3 linked regions of the Canis lupus familiaris genome follow. The protein of the gene in region 2 interacts with the protein of the main gene of each other region in a pairwise test. Links are inferred from orthologs where the notes say so. Each region holds a gene or a part of one and is shown on either strand. Other genes may lie near its edges.

The links. The genes of interacting proteins can lie anywhere in the genome.
Region 1: the proteins of HSD17B14 (region 2) and SNAPC3 interact in binary tests that used the Homo sapiens proteins (3 or more experiments, as listed by UniProt). The two-hybrid records come from large-scale screens. The link is inferred for Canis lupus familiaris from reciprocal best matches to the Homo sapiens genes HSD17B14 and SNAPC3.
Region 3: the proteins of HSD17B14 (region 2) and DDIT3 interact in binary tests that used the Homo sapiens proteins (3 or more experiments, as listed by UniProt). The two-hybrid records come from large-scale screens. The link is inferred for Canis lupus familiaris from reciprocal best matches to the Homo sapiens genes HSD17B14 and DDIT3.

Annotation. Positions count from the first base shown.
Region 1 is NC_049232.1:35,760,313-35,764,335, forward strand, and holds the start of SNAPC3 (snRNA-activating protein complex subunit 3), read left to right. Parts: upstream 1-1,167; 5' UTR 1,168-1,239; coding exon 1,240-1,556; intron 1,557-2,301; coding exon 2,302-2,379; intron 2,380-4,023.
Region 2 is NC_049222.1:108,190,617-108,194,911, reverse strand, and holds the start of HSD17B14 (17-beta-hydroxysteroid dehydrogenase 14), read right to left. Parts: upstream 2,811-4,295; 5' UTR 2,779-2,810; intron 2,442-2,778; 5' UTR 2,330-2,441; coding exon 2,242-2,329; intron 1,729-2,241; coding exon 1,690-1,728; intron 1,530-1,689; coding exon 1,447-1,529; intron 978-1,446; coding exon 911-977; intron 1-910. Other genes in the region: PLEKHA4 (pleckstrin homology domain-containing family A member 4), read right to left, coding at 3,068-3,327, 3,648-3,760. UniProt on the Homo sapiens protein: Catalyzes the NAD(+)-dependent oxidation of L-fucose, yielding L-fucono-1,5-lactone, which rapidly converts spontaneously to L-fucone-1,4-lactone. Can also act on D-arabinose and L-galactose, with lower catalytic efficiency. Does not use NADPH.
Region 3 is NC_049231.1:1,963,437-1,967,698, forward strand, and holds the start of DDIT3 (DNA damage-inducible transcript 3 protein), read right to left. Parts: upstream 2,857-4,262; 5' UTR 2,755-2,856; intron 2,076-2,754; exon of another isoform or gene 1,993-2,075; intron 1,897-1,992; exon of another isoform or gene 1,747-1,896; intron 1-1,746. UniProt on the Homo sapiens protein: Multifunctional transcription factor in endoplasmic reticulum (ER) stress response. Plays an essential role in the response to a wide variety of cell stresses and induces cell cycle arrest and apoptosis in response to ER stress.

The DNA.
Region 1 (4,023 bases), on a different chromosome or scaffold from region 2:
TGATGAACAAACAGAATATGGTATATCACACAATGTAATTTTATTCAGCCATAAAAGGAAATGAAGTAGGTACAAGCAAAGTATAGATAAACCCTGAAGACGTTATGCTAAATGAAAGAAGCTAATCACAAAAGACCAGATAAATCTAACACTTATACTAAATCGACTTGTAAATCTTAAATCTACAGAGACTAAGAGAAGCGGTTGGGTTAGGGCTGGAAGAGTTGAGAGGATTGGGGGCCATAGCTCAAAGGTAAGAAGTTTCTTTTTGGAGTGGTTGAGATATTCTCAAATTGGTTATGGTGATGGTTGCATAACTCTGTAAATACACTAGAAACCATTGAATGAGCACTTTAAATGGGTTAAATATATATGATGTATGAATAATATACCAATAAATAAATAAATAAATAAATAAATAAATAAATAAATAAATAAATAACCAAGGCTCCTTATATGTCCTGTTCCATCCTTTCGAGTCTCCGAGCCATGGGAAAAGCTCCGCCTGAAGCTAGACAGTTCCAATCCTGCTTCTATTTCCTTATAGTTAACTCCTTCCTCAGTGGTACCATGGGCATGACAATCCTTGCCCGGGAAGGTCATGATTTTTAAAAACACACATTAGGGTTAATACCGTACAGTATCTAATACGTAGTTGCCTCTCAATACACACTATTCTAAGCGTGTACAGCACAATGCATGCGTATAAACACAAGAAGATGCAGCTGTTGGGGAGACTTTCTAACGACCCGGATCTGGAGGGCCGGGCGTGCCCGCGGTCTCCGCCCTCGCAGCGCAGGTCGCTCCAGCTTTGGGACGGTGAGGCAGCAGCGCAGCGCACGAGCCCCGGAGGCAAAGAAAAGCCCCGCATCCCGGGCCGAGCAACCGCAACGAACGGGCTCGAAGGGCGCACAGAGGCCGCCCCGTCTGGCGGAGAGCGATGCCACGGGACGGTGGGGGACGGGAACGCGACACACGGTACCGGGAGACCGAGCTCAGCCGACCGCTCGCCGCAGCGCCGCGAGCGGAGAACAATGCGCTCAGCCCTTCGCGCGGAAGCTCGCGGTACCGCGCCCGGGGGCGTGCCCGGCCCGGGGCCTGCTGGGAAATGCAGTGTCTGAAAGCCGCGCCCACGCAGCCCCGCCGCTCTTCGGACCGAGCCCGGTGCAACTACAAGTCCCATCACGCTCCGCGGCCTCTTGCTCGCCCGGCTTTTGCAGGGAAAGGAGTGGGGCGAACATGGCTGAAGGCACCCGGGGCGGCAGAGCGTGCGGAGGAATGGGAGGCAGGCAGGACCCGGTCTCCAGCAGCGGGAGCTGCAACTTCCCAGAGTACGAGCTTCCCGAGCTAAACACGCGCGCTTTCCATGTGGGCGCCTTCGGGGAGCTGTGGCGTGGCCGGTTGCGCAGGGAAGGGGACTTGTCGCTGAAGGAGCCTCAGGAATCCGCGCTGCCTGGGAGCCACGGTGTCGCGGACTGGGGCCAGGAGGATGCTGCGGTGGCCCGGGATCTGGGCTGCAGCCTTGAGGCCGCGGCCGAGCTGCGGACGGTGTGCGGGTGAGTGCGGTGCGGAGGGCCTCTTGCTGCTGGGAGCCGGCCTGGATGCAGCCTTGCTCCTGCGCTCCCCTGGGACTCCCCCTCGGGAGGGCCTGTGCGCGGACTCCCGGAGGTGGAAGGACCGCCCTTCCGAGGCGTTCCGCCTGCTCCAGCTGTCCTGGAACCCCGGGAGGAGTCCGGTGATCGGAATGCACAACCTCTCAAGTGGGAGCGGAGGGACGGAAGAGCTGCCTACAAAGATTAATTTTTCTACCGGTTAATTGTTTAAGTGCTTGCTAATATATAGAAGGGCGATCAGAGTAACGGCGGTGTGTAGCTGCCATTGAAAAGACACTTTGACAATGGAGGAGCCTTCGTAATGCTGAGCCAGCCTGGGAGGAAATTTAACCAGGGGAGTGTTAAAACCTTTGATTAACCGTGGTTCCTAATGGGGACCTCCGGGTGTGCAGTTACTGAAAATATCCCCCCCAAGGGCCTTTTATAGGGTGAAAATATTAAAAAAAATATTAAAAAAAAAGCTTTAACGATCTATTTAATAGTATCGGCCGCCATACATCAATCGGCCGTGTATCCTCTTTGTAGATAGACTATCGGCACAGATATCATTGTCTGGAATTCTGGCCGCATCTGAACCCCGTCTGCTGGATTTCACCTGACTTAATTGTTTAATGATGTATTTAGGACACAACCCTGATCGTTGTGGACAAGATGGATGATTGTTTTTCCTTTTTTGTTTGTATTTCAGCGTTGATAAACTCAAGTGCCTTGAGGAGGGCGAGGATCCGGATGTCGTCCCGGAGAATACTGACCTAGTGACTTTGGGGTATGGAAGGACTTGACTTTTATTGTGTGGTACTTATTTAAGACATCTTTCAACGTTATGTTATTCACAAGAGTACTTATTGTTATCACCCCACCCCCTAAATCCAATCATTGTTAACATTTGGCTGAATTTGCTTTTGCTCTGTGTGAGATACCTGCTGCAAGTCTTTTTCTATTGCTGAACCATTCAGTAAGTTTCAGACCTAAATACGTCAGCATATAGCTCCCCTAAGTATTATTCTCTTACATAAGCAGAGTGGTATTATTGCACCTAAAGGAAATTAGCAGCAAATACATAACTTCTAATGTCCATTCTGTATTCAGATTTGTGTTTATTTTTATATATTTTGTTTATTTTTATTTTATTTTTTTGTGTGTGTTTATTTTTAAATGTGTGTTTACAAAGGTACAGTTGATCTACTTAGATTCCAGTGCAAGGTGAAAACTCTGATAGTTTTTCAGACTTTTGTTTTCAGTTTCTAATTTTTGACAGATCCATATTTTTGTAAAAGAGGATACTAGTTAATTACTGGGAAAATGGAATTAAAAGACAAACACAAAAGTCCTTTTTTTAAGAACAAAGGTTATTATTACTATTATCTTTTGAAGATTACAGAGATTTTATTTAAGATGACTTTTCCCCCCAAAACCCTGAGATCATGATCTGAGCCAAAATCAAGAGTTGGATGCTCAATGAACTGAGCCATCCAGGTGCCCCTTGAATTTGGGTTTATTGAAGTATAGTTAACATACAATGCTTCATTGGTTTCAGATGTACGGCGTAGCCATTTGGCAGCTCTATATGTTCTATGCTCACCACAAGTGTAGCAACCATCTGTTACCACACAGGCTAGTAATAATACTGATTACATTACCATTGACTTTATTCTCTATGCTGTCCCTCTATCCCTATGATTTATTTATTTCACAATTGGAAGCCTGTACCTGTTACTCTCCTTCACCCATTTTGTCCCCCTCCCCACTTTTCCTGGCAGCTGTCAGTTTGTTCTCTGTATTTGTTTGGCTTTTTATATTCCACTATCAGTGAAATTATATAGTATTTGTCTTTCTCTATTTGAATTGTTTCACTTAGCATAATACCCTCTAGGTCCATTCATGTTATTGCAAATGGCAAGCTGTCATTCTTTTTTATGGATGAGTAATATTCCATTATACACCTCTTTATCCATTGATCTATCCATGGACACTTGGGTTGCTTCCATATCCTAGCTATTTTAAGTAATGCCATAGTAAACATAGGGATGCATGTATCTTTTGGAAGCAGTGTTTTTTTCTTTGGGTGACTACCTAGTTGTGGAATTACTGGGTCATATGGTATTTATATTTTTATTTTTTTCAAGAGCCTTCATACTGTTTTCCACAGTGGCGCCACCAGGTAAATTCCTACCAATAGTGCATGAGGATTCCTTTTTCTCTACATCTCACCAACACTTGTTATTCTTTGTTTGTTTGTTTGTTTTTAAAGCTTTTATTTATTTATTCATGAGAAACACAGAGAGAGAGGAGAGAGGCAGAGACATAGGCAAAGGAAGAAGCAGGCTCCATGTAGGAAGCCTGATGTGGAACTCAATCCCGGGACCCCAGGATCATGCCCTGAGCCGAAGGCAGATGCCCAGCTGCTGAG
Region 2 (4,295 bases):
AGAAAGGATGAACTGGTATTAGCCATCTCTTTGATCTTTACAACAATATAAGGAGGAAAATGCAGCCCAGAGAGGGTGAGCCACTTGCTTAAAGTTGCCCAGCCAATACGCAGCGGTGGAGGGGGTGGGAGGGTTGTGCAGCCTGGGTGGCTCAGCGGTTTAGCGCTGCCTTCAGCCCAGGGCGTGACCCGGGATGGAGTCCCCCATCAGGCTCCCTGCATGGAGCCTGCTTCTCCCTCTGCCTGTGTCTCTGCCTCTCCCTCTCTGTGTCTCTCATGAATAAATAAATAAAATCTTAAAAAAAGCCAACAATAAGCAGGGGGGCACGTTGTGCAGCTGAAGAGGATGTCACTCTTATGACAGGCCTTGCTGTGTGACCTCAGTGCAATCAGTTCATCTCTCTGAGCCCTGGCTTACCAACATGAGAGATTCTTATGAAGGGTAAGTCGTTAAACTGACAGCATTTCCCCTTCAAAGGGGACCTTGAAGAGGACCTAAAAAACCACACTCATGAGGATACCTTCATAGTCATCAGCAAAGGGAAGGGTCATTGCCATCACTTCATAGATAAGCAAATTGAGACCACAAGATGGGAGCTGTTTCTTCAAGATATTTGTGATAATTATGAGGCCGAGTAGTTTATCTTATTTAATACCCACAACAACTCTGTTGTTCATGATCATCATTCCCATTCTAGAAACAGAAGAACTGAGGCCAGGATGGAACCAGCCAGGATGTGAGCCCCAGTGCAGGGCCTTCCAGGGCTGTACTGTCCCATCCAAGGAGACAGGGGGATGGGAAAGGGGATGGAGAAGACAGATGGGGAACTGAGGGGGAGGGAAAGGAAGGGATGGAAGCGGGGAGGTGGGTGGACACCAAGGGAGAATGGCCTGTGGGCCACACAACTCACGGTAGCCAGCGTTGTTGACTACACAATCCAGACGGCCAAAACGACGGACAGTCTCAGAAATGAGAGTCTGAGGACAAAGAGGTAAGTGAGCAGGGCTGGCACCCAGCCTTGAGGATCCTGGACTCCCAAAAGCAAAGGGGAAAAAAAAAAAAAAAAGCAAAGGGGGAGGTGGATCACAGCCAAGGTGAAGGGAGCTACAGGAAGTGGGGGCTTCCCCTAAATCACCAGAGGGCTGGATATATTCACACTGCAGAGACCTGGTGTCCGGGTGGGGGGCAGAGGGTGGACATCAGAGAGACATTGACCGAAGTGAACGGATAGAATCCCAGAGGCGGGAGAGGAAGACTCTTCCAGAAGGAGATCCACTGTGAGGGATTTTTGTTGTTGTTGTTCCAGTCTATGTGACAGGTGTGACAAGAGCTCCATAGTGAGAGATAAAGGAGAAACTTTGCAGGAGACCCAGAACCTGGCCAGCAGAATCAGGGAAAGTCCGGAGCAGCAGTCTTTGGGGCCAGACAGGGTCAAGAATAGCTCACCTGCACATCTTTCTCCCGGGTCACATCACAGAGGATAAAGACAGTTCCAGTAAGCTCCTGCTCCAGGGCCCGGCCCCCAGACTCTGCAGGGAGAGAAGGGCTGGGGTCCAGACTCCTAGGTCTGAGGGAGGAGGGGCTGGGGTCCTGATTCTTGGGTCTGAGAGAGGAAAGGGCCTGGGGGCCCAGACTCCTGGGTGTGAGGGAGGAGGGGGCTGGGGTGAGGACCAAGGGACGCTCACTCACCATCTTTGTCACAGATAACCACTTGGGCCCCGTTTTGCACTGAGAATGGAAAAACAGGTTACTCCAGCACAGATCTTGGCAAAGGCCTCTGCTGCCCTCCTGTGGCCACCTGGAGTGGGGCCCATCTTTCCAAACGTTCCCCTCATGACCCCAAAGTCCCATGATGTTCCTCTAGAGCAAAGGGCAGAAGACTTGACCCATATTCTCCTTGGCCACTGTAGGTGCCTGCTGGGGTTCCTGAGCCCCCATCCCTGGGTTCCAGAATAAACCCGAAACCTGCAAGCCACATTCCCCCAGCCACCCCCACTTTGTAGATAGAATAACTGAGACCCAGAAAAAGAGAGTAACCATTTTTGGAGAACTGCCAAAAGCTCAGGCCCCAGGCTTAGGCTGTCAACCCTTTCATTAACATTGCAAATTGGGTTTTTATAGGCTAAGAATCTTGACTCCAGTACTGAAGTTCCCACACCCACTAGTTCCCAGGGTCCCTCCGCTCCCAATCTCTAATATTCCCCAAGTAGCCAGACCCTGACTCGCCAGACCCCTACTCACCGAAGGCTCTCGCGATCCCGGCTCCAATGCCGCGCCCGCCTCCTGTCACAACCACCACCTTCCCGGCATAGCGCGTCCCTGTTGCCATCCTGCTTCTGTCTGACTCTCCCTGTCACTCACTCTGCTTCTTTCCACCTCCACAGTCCAGTGAGGCCGTGGAGCAGAACCATAAATAGGGGCTGGATCCTGGAAGGCCGGCCCTGGGGGGGCGTTGCCAGGAAGGCCAGAAGCCTGGAAGTTTGCCCCCGCCCCCTCCTCCCTCAGACCCAGTTGTCTGGGGCCTCAGCTCCTCCTCCCTCAGACTCAGGAGCCCAGGCAACCAGCCCCTCCTCCGTCAGACCTAGGAGCCCAGGCCCCCAGCCCCTCTACTCTCAGACCCTCAGGCCCAGGAGTCCGGGTCCCCAGCCCCTCCACTCTCGGACCCAGGAGTCTGGGCCCCCAATCCCCTCCTTCCTCAAACTCAGGATTTATGGCATCCAACCCCCTCCTCCCTCAGACCCAGGAATCTAGGCCCTGCTTCTCCTTTTCCAGACCTACAGGTTTCAGACCGTCAGGACGCAGGAGGCCACGGCTCCAGCTCCGCCCTGAAGAGACCCCAGTGTCACAACCCCAAACAGACAGAAATTTATTGACTAAAAGTTCAAAGTTTTAATCCGAATTTGGACAAGTGTTGGGAAAACCAAACTTTGGCCCTGGAAACGTCTCCCACCCTAGGCCACCGCGGGGACCAGATCACGCCCCCCGGCGCCGAGAGCGGCTCCCGTCTCGGGGCGGTACCCCCGGGTCACGCCCCTCCCGCTCCGATTGGCTGCGGCGCTGGGGCGGGTCAGAAGCTGGACTGCAGCAGCGTGACTCGCAGAGGCCACGCCCCCTCCTCCTGGGTCAGGGCCGGGGGGGCGGTCCCGGATTCCCACGTGGGCTCCCAGGAGGCGGGGCCTGCGCCGCGCTCCCCACCTCCGCGGGAGAACCCGGCTGAGTGGGAATTAGCCACTGGAGATCTCGGGGGCGAGGTCCCCTGGGGGGTGGGGTCTGACGGAGGCGGCGGCGCAGGGGGAAGAGGGTCTCCTCGGGAGTCCAAGTTTCCACCTAGACAGCACGAGTGGGAAGTGAGAATGGCAAACTTGGGGACCCCTTTCCTCTCAGACCGAGGAGTCGAGCCCCCAGTCCCATCCTCCCTCAGACCCACAGGTCTGGCCCCACTCCCTTCCCCCGCCCCCCTGACCCAGGAGTCTTGAACCCCTGTCCCCTCCTGCCTGGGATCTGGAACTCCCAAGCCCTCTACGGCACTCTTCTCATCCAGACATAGGATTCCCAGCAGCTCTCACACTCCTCCGACCAGCAAGGACTCCAGGCTCTGGCTCCCTCTTCCCTAAAACCCAGGAGTCCAAGGTCCCCCAGCCCCTCACCTGTCATCAATCTGTGCCACTGCGACGCCTCAGTAGCCAGAGCATGAGAGAGGCTGAGGACTCGCTCCCGGTGACCTTCGGCTGTCGGCAAATAAGGGGTGGTGTTCCTGGGGCTAGAAAAAAAGAGAGAGGGATCCCTGGGTGGCTCAGCGGTTTAGCGCCTGCCTTTGCCCCAGGGCGTGATCCTGGAGTCCCGGGATCGAGTCCTGCATCGGGCTCCCTGCGTGGAGCCTGCTTCTCCCTCTGCTTAAGTCTCTGCCCCTCTCTCCCTCTGCTTAAGTCTCTGCCCCTCTATCTCTGTCTATCAAGAATAAATAAATAAATAAAATCTTAAAAAAAGAAAAAAAGAGATTTGGGGTCTTCTACAGTTAGCTAGTACCGCAGTGCCACGCGCGTCTTTCTGGGAGTTGTAGTCCCAAGCACGTGTCCCTAGAGGACCTTAAACACGGCGTGGCCTTCATAAACGTCCGTGTGCATTGTGGGATTTGTAGTCTATTCCCGACTAAAGTCCACCTGCTTTCCTGACGCAGGAGCAGAGTTTGCTATACCCCCAGTTCTGCAGTTTGGGGAGCTGCAGTTATCATGCGGACCTAGGGCTTTCTGATGCCCCAGGAATTCAAGAATCTCTAAAAGGTTCTTCAGTCTGTA
Region 3 (4,262 bases), on a different chromosome or scaffold from region 2:
ATTTTATTTTATTTTATTTTATTTTAATTATTATTATTTTTTTTTATGATAGTCACAGAGAGAGAGAGAGAGAGGCAGAGACACAGGCAGAGGGAGAAGCAGGCTCCATGAACCGGGAGCCCTATGTGGGATTCGATCCCAGGTCTCCAGGATCGCGCCCTGGGCCAAAGGCAGGCGCCAAACCACTGCGCCACCCAGGGATCCCTGGAGTGAGCCTTTTAAAACTCTAGTCAGGTCCTGTCAGTCTGTTCAAAACTCTTCAAGGACTAAAGTTCATGAATATTAAAGGCTAAAGGTCCTTAATATGGCTTAGAAGGCCCCACACAATCTCCTTCCCTGCCCTGGATTTCTCATTGACCACTCTCCCTCTAGTCCGTCCAGCTGGCCTGCTCCCTAAACTCTGCACACTCCCACCTTAGGACCTCTGTTCTCACTGTTCTTTCTCCTGGAAAGCTCTTCCTTTCACAAATCTGCACAGCTTACTACTTTGCCTCTTTTCAGAAGTTTCATTTAAATGTCACCTCTGTGAGAGAATCTCTAATGACTCAAGGTAAACATCCTGGGCATTCACTACCCTTCCATGCTTTGGTTTTCTCCTTGGCACTTCTATATTTGTTCGCTGTGCACCTTTTCCCACGAAATGTAAGCTCTGTGAGAACAGGTCTTTTCCTTGTTCGTAGATGCATCCTGGGCCTAAAATGTGTGGCACATAGCAGGTGTGTAATAAGTAATTTGTGAAGAATGAAAGAATTCTCCCCAGTGTCTCATAGGGAAGGGAGGAGGAAGCCCAGAGGCAGAGCAGCAGCTGCCCAGCCCTGGGGACTGGAGATGCAATATCTCCCAGAGTGTTTCTCTTCAGGGCTGTCCTCCCTGGGGGACCCTCCTTGCCTTCCAGCGTGTGGGATGCCGCTTTCATCAGCAGTGGGGCCCCAGGCCAGAGGGCTGCAGAGCCAAACAGGGGGCTGGCCTGATGCAACGGTTACACAGAAATTAGCTGGGAGGCAGGACGCGGGGAAAGCAGCAGGGACAAATCCCTGCGGAAGGACCCTACACTGGGGAGACCCCAAATGGCTTCCCACACTTAAGGGATCCAGAATGCTCTCTTGTGCAGGAGGCCCCCGGGACCTCTGGGGGAATGGGAAAACCCATCTCTGCTCCCTAGCCATTGGCATCCCTCCTCCTCCCAAAGTCTGGAGTCTGTCTCCTTAAGGTTCTCTTCTCCGTTAGGGTGTGGAATGGCTGTCCTGTGCAGGACCCAGGAGCTCCATCCACCGACGTGGCCACTCTGGCCCTGAGACGCTGGGCTGAGACAGGATTGGGGGTGGGGTAGGGGCAGGGCCGCTGGTGGGAAAGTGGCGGCAAGGGCGTGAGCCAGAGCCATCCAGGCGTCTCGGCGTGGGGGAGTGTCCTGCCGCCCCGCCTCCCACCGGACAGGACCAAGGAGGCGGCCTAGGGCAGCAGCGGAAGACAGGGAGTCTCCCGAGGGCATCCGGACCCCTTAGCCCGACGGCCCAGAGCCGGGCCCGCGCTCCGGGCAGGGTGGGGCGCCGCTCCCGTCCGAGGGAAGAGAGGTCTGTAAGCACCACTCCCGGATAAAGGATGCTCCCCGTCCCTCCCTCGAACTGTCACTAACTTCGTCGGGGAACGGGTGGGGCCGCATCCTGAGCAGCTGATGCCCCAACTTCGAAGGGACAACCAGCATCCCCGAGGACTAGAGGGTAAAGAGCAGGTGGGATCGGTACTCGCCTCTCTCCTCAGGTTCCGGCTCTGACTGTGGCTCTGTGGCTGCCACCCGCTCATCTTCAACATGATCCGCTCTGTGCCTTACACTCAAGCCTCTGACCTCGGAGGCCCGAGCGCGGATGTTTTAAGGAGGCCCTGCCCTCCCCTCGGGGGCGGGCCCGCAAGCCTGCCAATCAGGGCGCGGCACGCCGGCGCTGGCCCCGCCCCGCCCCCCGCGCCCGCCACTCAGCAGCCCCCGCGGCGCCGCCCCCTTCGCTCCCGCCGGCCCGGGGGTAGAGGTGGTGTCGGACCCGGAAGTGGCTTTGGGTCACGAGGCTCCGCGGAGGAGGCGAGTGAGTCATGCGCGCGCGCGGAGGGGAGAGCTGGGGGGGAGGGGAGGAGGGGAGGAGAGGGGGGCGGGGATGATGCAATGTTTGGCAACCGGTGTCTCGGCGCGCACGCGCAGGGGCCGACGAGGGTGGTGGGCGGTGCGGGGGGGTGGGGGAGAGGAGAGGGCGGGGCGCCAGCGCCGGGCTCCCAACGGCCCCAACGGCTCCCAACCGTGGCCGCCCTCAGGCTGCCTGCGAAGCCGCGCTGCGGCTCGTCCTCCTCGGCGCCCTTATTCCGCCCACCTGGCGTTAGCCCCCGCCTCGCCGTCTGCATGGGGGGCTCCCATTTTGCTCGGTCCCCTCCTAGTTAGTGGGCGCGAGGTCTTCTAAGCCAATCTCTTTTGAAAGTTTGCATGCAGCCACAGGACCGCCTAACGTCTCCTCGAGTAGGCGCATAGAAAGATCCCGTTTAGCTCCCTAATTCCCCCAGAAGGGGCCGAGGAACTTGAGTACTTTTGATGGTCATTTTCAGCTCCTCGCCGAAAAGCACCCCTAACTTTTATCTTTGTGAAGTTTCTGATGAGCGCTCAGCATGCCAGGATTCAGGACTTGGCCCGGTGGACGCGATTCTCAGCCTCCCCCCCCCCCCCCCCCGTACTCTGGTGCCTCCACCAAGGATCAAGACCCGCCCTTTTCGCTGTACCAGCCGCGCAGGTCCTGTGACTCCTGCGTGAGGAGCCGTGCACCCGCCGCCTGCCGCCTCGGTGCTCGGGCGACCTTAGAGCCTCGTTGCCTGGGACGTTGGGTGCACTTGAGCGCGCAGCCGCCTTGCACCGGGTTGTCAGGAGCCCAGAGTCTGGCCTCACCTGCCCCTTTACTTGCCCCCTAATATCTGTGCCACAACCGTTCTTGTTTGTAAATAAAGGATGACGAGTTGTGAAGGTAAAACGAGAGCACTATGAACTTGGAGGCAGCTTAAACAAAAGTGAAAAGCATCGCTTAAAATGCAAACGTTTTTCTTGTGCCATTAGAGAGAAAAAAGATGCCATGTGGCGGCCGGTTGTATTCACTGTCATACCCTCACGGGGGCAGCCAGAGTTAAGTAGAATCTGTCACAAGGCCGGTTGTGGCTGCAAGGAGGTTTAGGTGGTGGTGTGACGGTGACAGGTCCTCGGCCGGGCCTGCTCCGTTGCTCCAGACCTCCATTTCCCCTTCAGTAGATGGGGGTGGGGGTGGGTTGGACCAGATGGTCTCTCCTGGCCCAAAGACATGACCAGGTTGTCAGTGACAGGCAGAGGTCATGTGACTTGACAGGCGGAGGTCCTGTTGTGACATGTTGACCTGGGGAGGCGGGTCAAGTCCCAGCACACTACCCGGGAAGCCTTTGGGGCGGGGCAGGGCAAGTCGCGACTTTCATCTTTTGGGGCCGGCCCCTCCCGGACCCGGCATTCCTGGCTCCCCCGACAGACTGTGGCTTTGGAAGGGGCCCCTCCCCGGGGAGGGCTGGGATTGGCCGCCGGTGGCCTGGGAAGAGGCTCAGATCCTTCCGCGGAGGGCGGGGGGGCCGCGTGGGGTGTTTGTTCTCTTGGGGATTAATGGGGGGTTGTGGGGGAGGGGTAGGCGCGCTCCCGCATGCGCACTGCGGCCCCTCCTGTTGGCTCGTCGTTGTCCGCTGGGCGGGGGCCCGGCCCCGCCCCTCTCCCGTCCGGGCAGCGGCGGCGGCGGCGGCGGCGGCGGCTGCGGCGGCGGCGGCGGCAGCGACGGCGGCGGCGGCGGCGGCAGCCTGCGCGGTGCCTTCTGGGAACGGAATCCCCAGGGCTGCCCCTGGCCCCCATGGCGCATGCGCGGGAGGCCGCTCGGTGATCCGCGGCGGCGGCGGCGGCGCTTCCTGCTAGGACCGGCCGGGGCCGTACCGGAGGCTCGGGCTCCGCCGACCCTCCTCCCACTCCCTCCCACTCACCCTCTGGGCCGCGACTGCGCAGGGCGGGGCCGGCCGAGCCATGGGCCGCGGTGAGTGCAGGGCCCGGCCCCCCCGCCCCTCCCCCTCCCCTCCCCTGCTGTCCCTACCCTCTGCCCCCCGCGTCCTCGGCCCCTTTCCCGGCCCCATCCCCGCCCCCCCGCCCTCACCTGCCCCCGCCGTCTCTCCCTCGCACTGCTTGACTTTTGCCTTCTTCACCTCCCTCCCTCAGTGCTTCGCCCACCCTCCGCCCG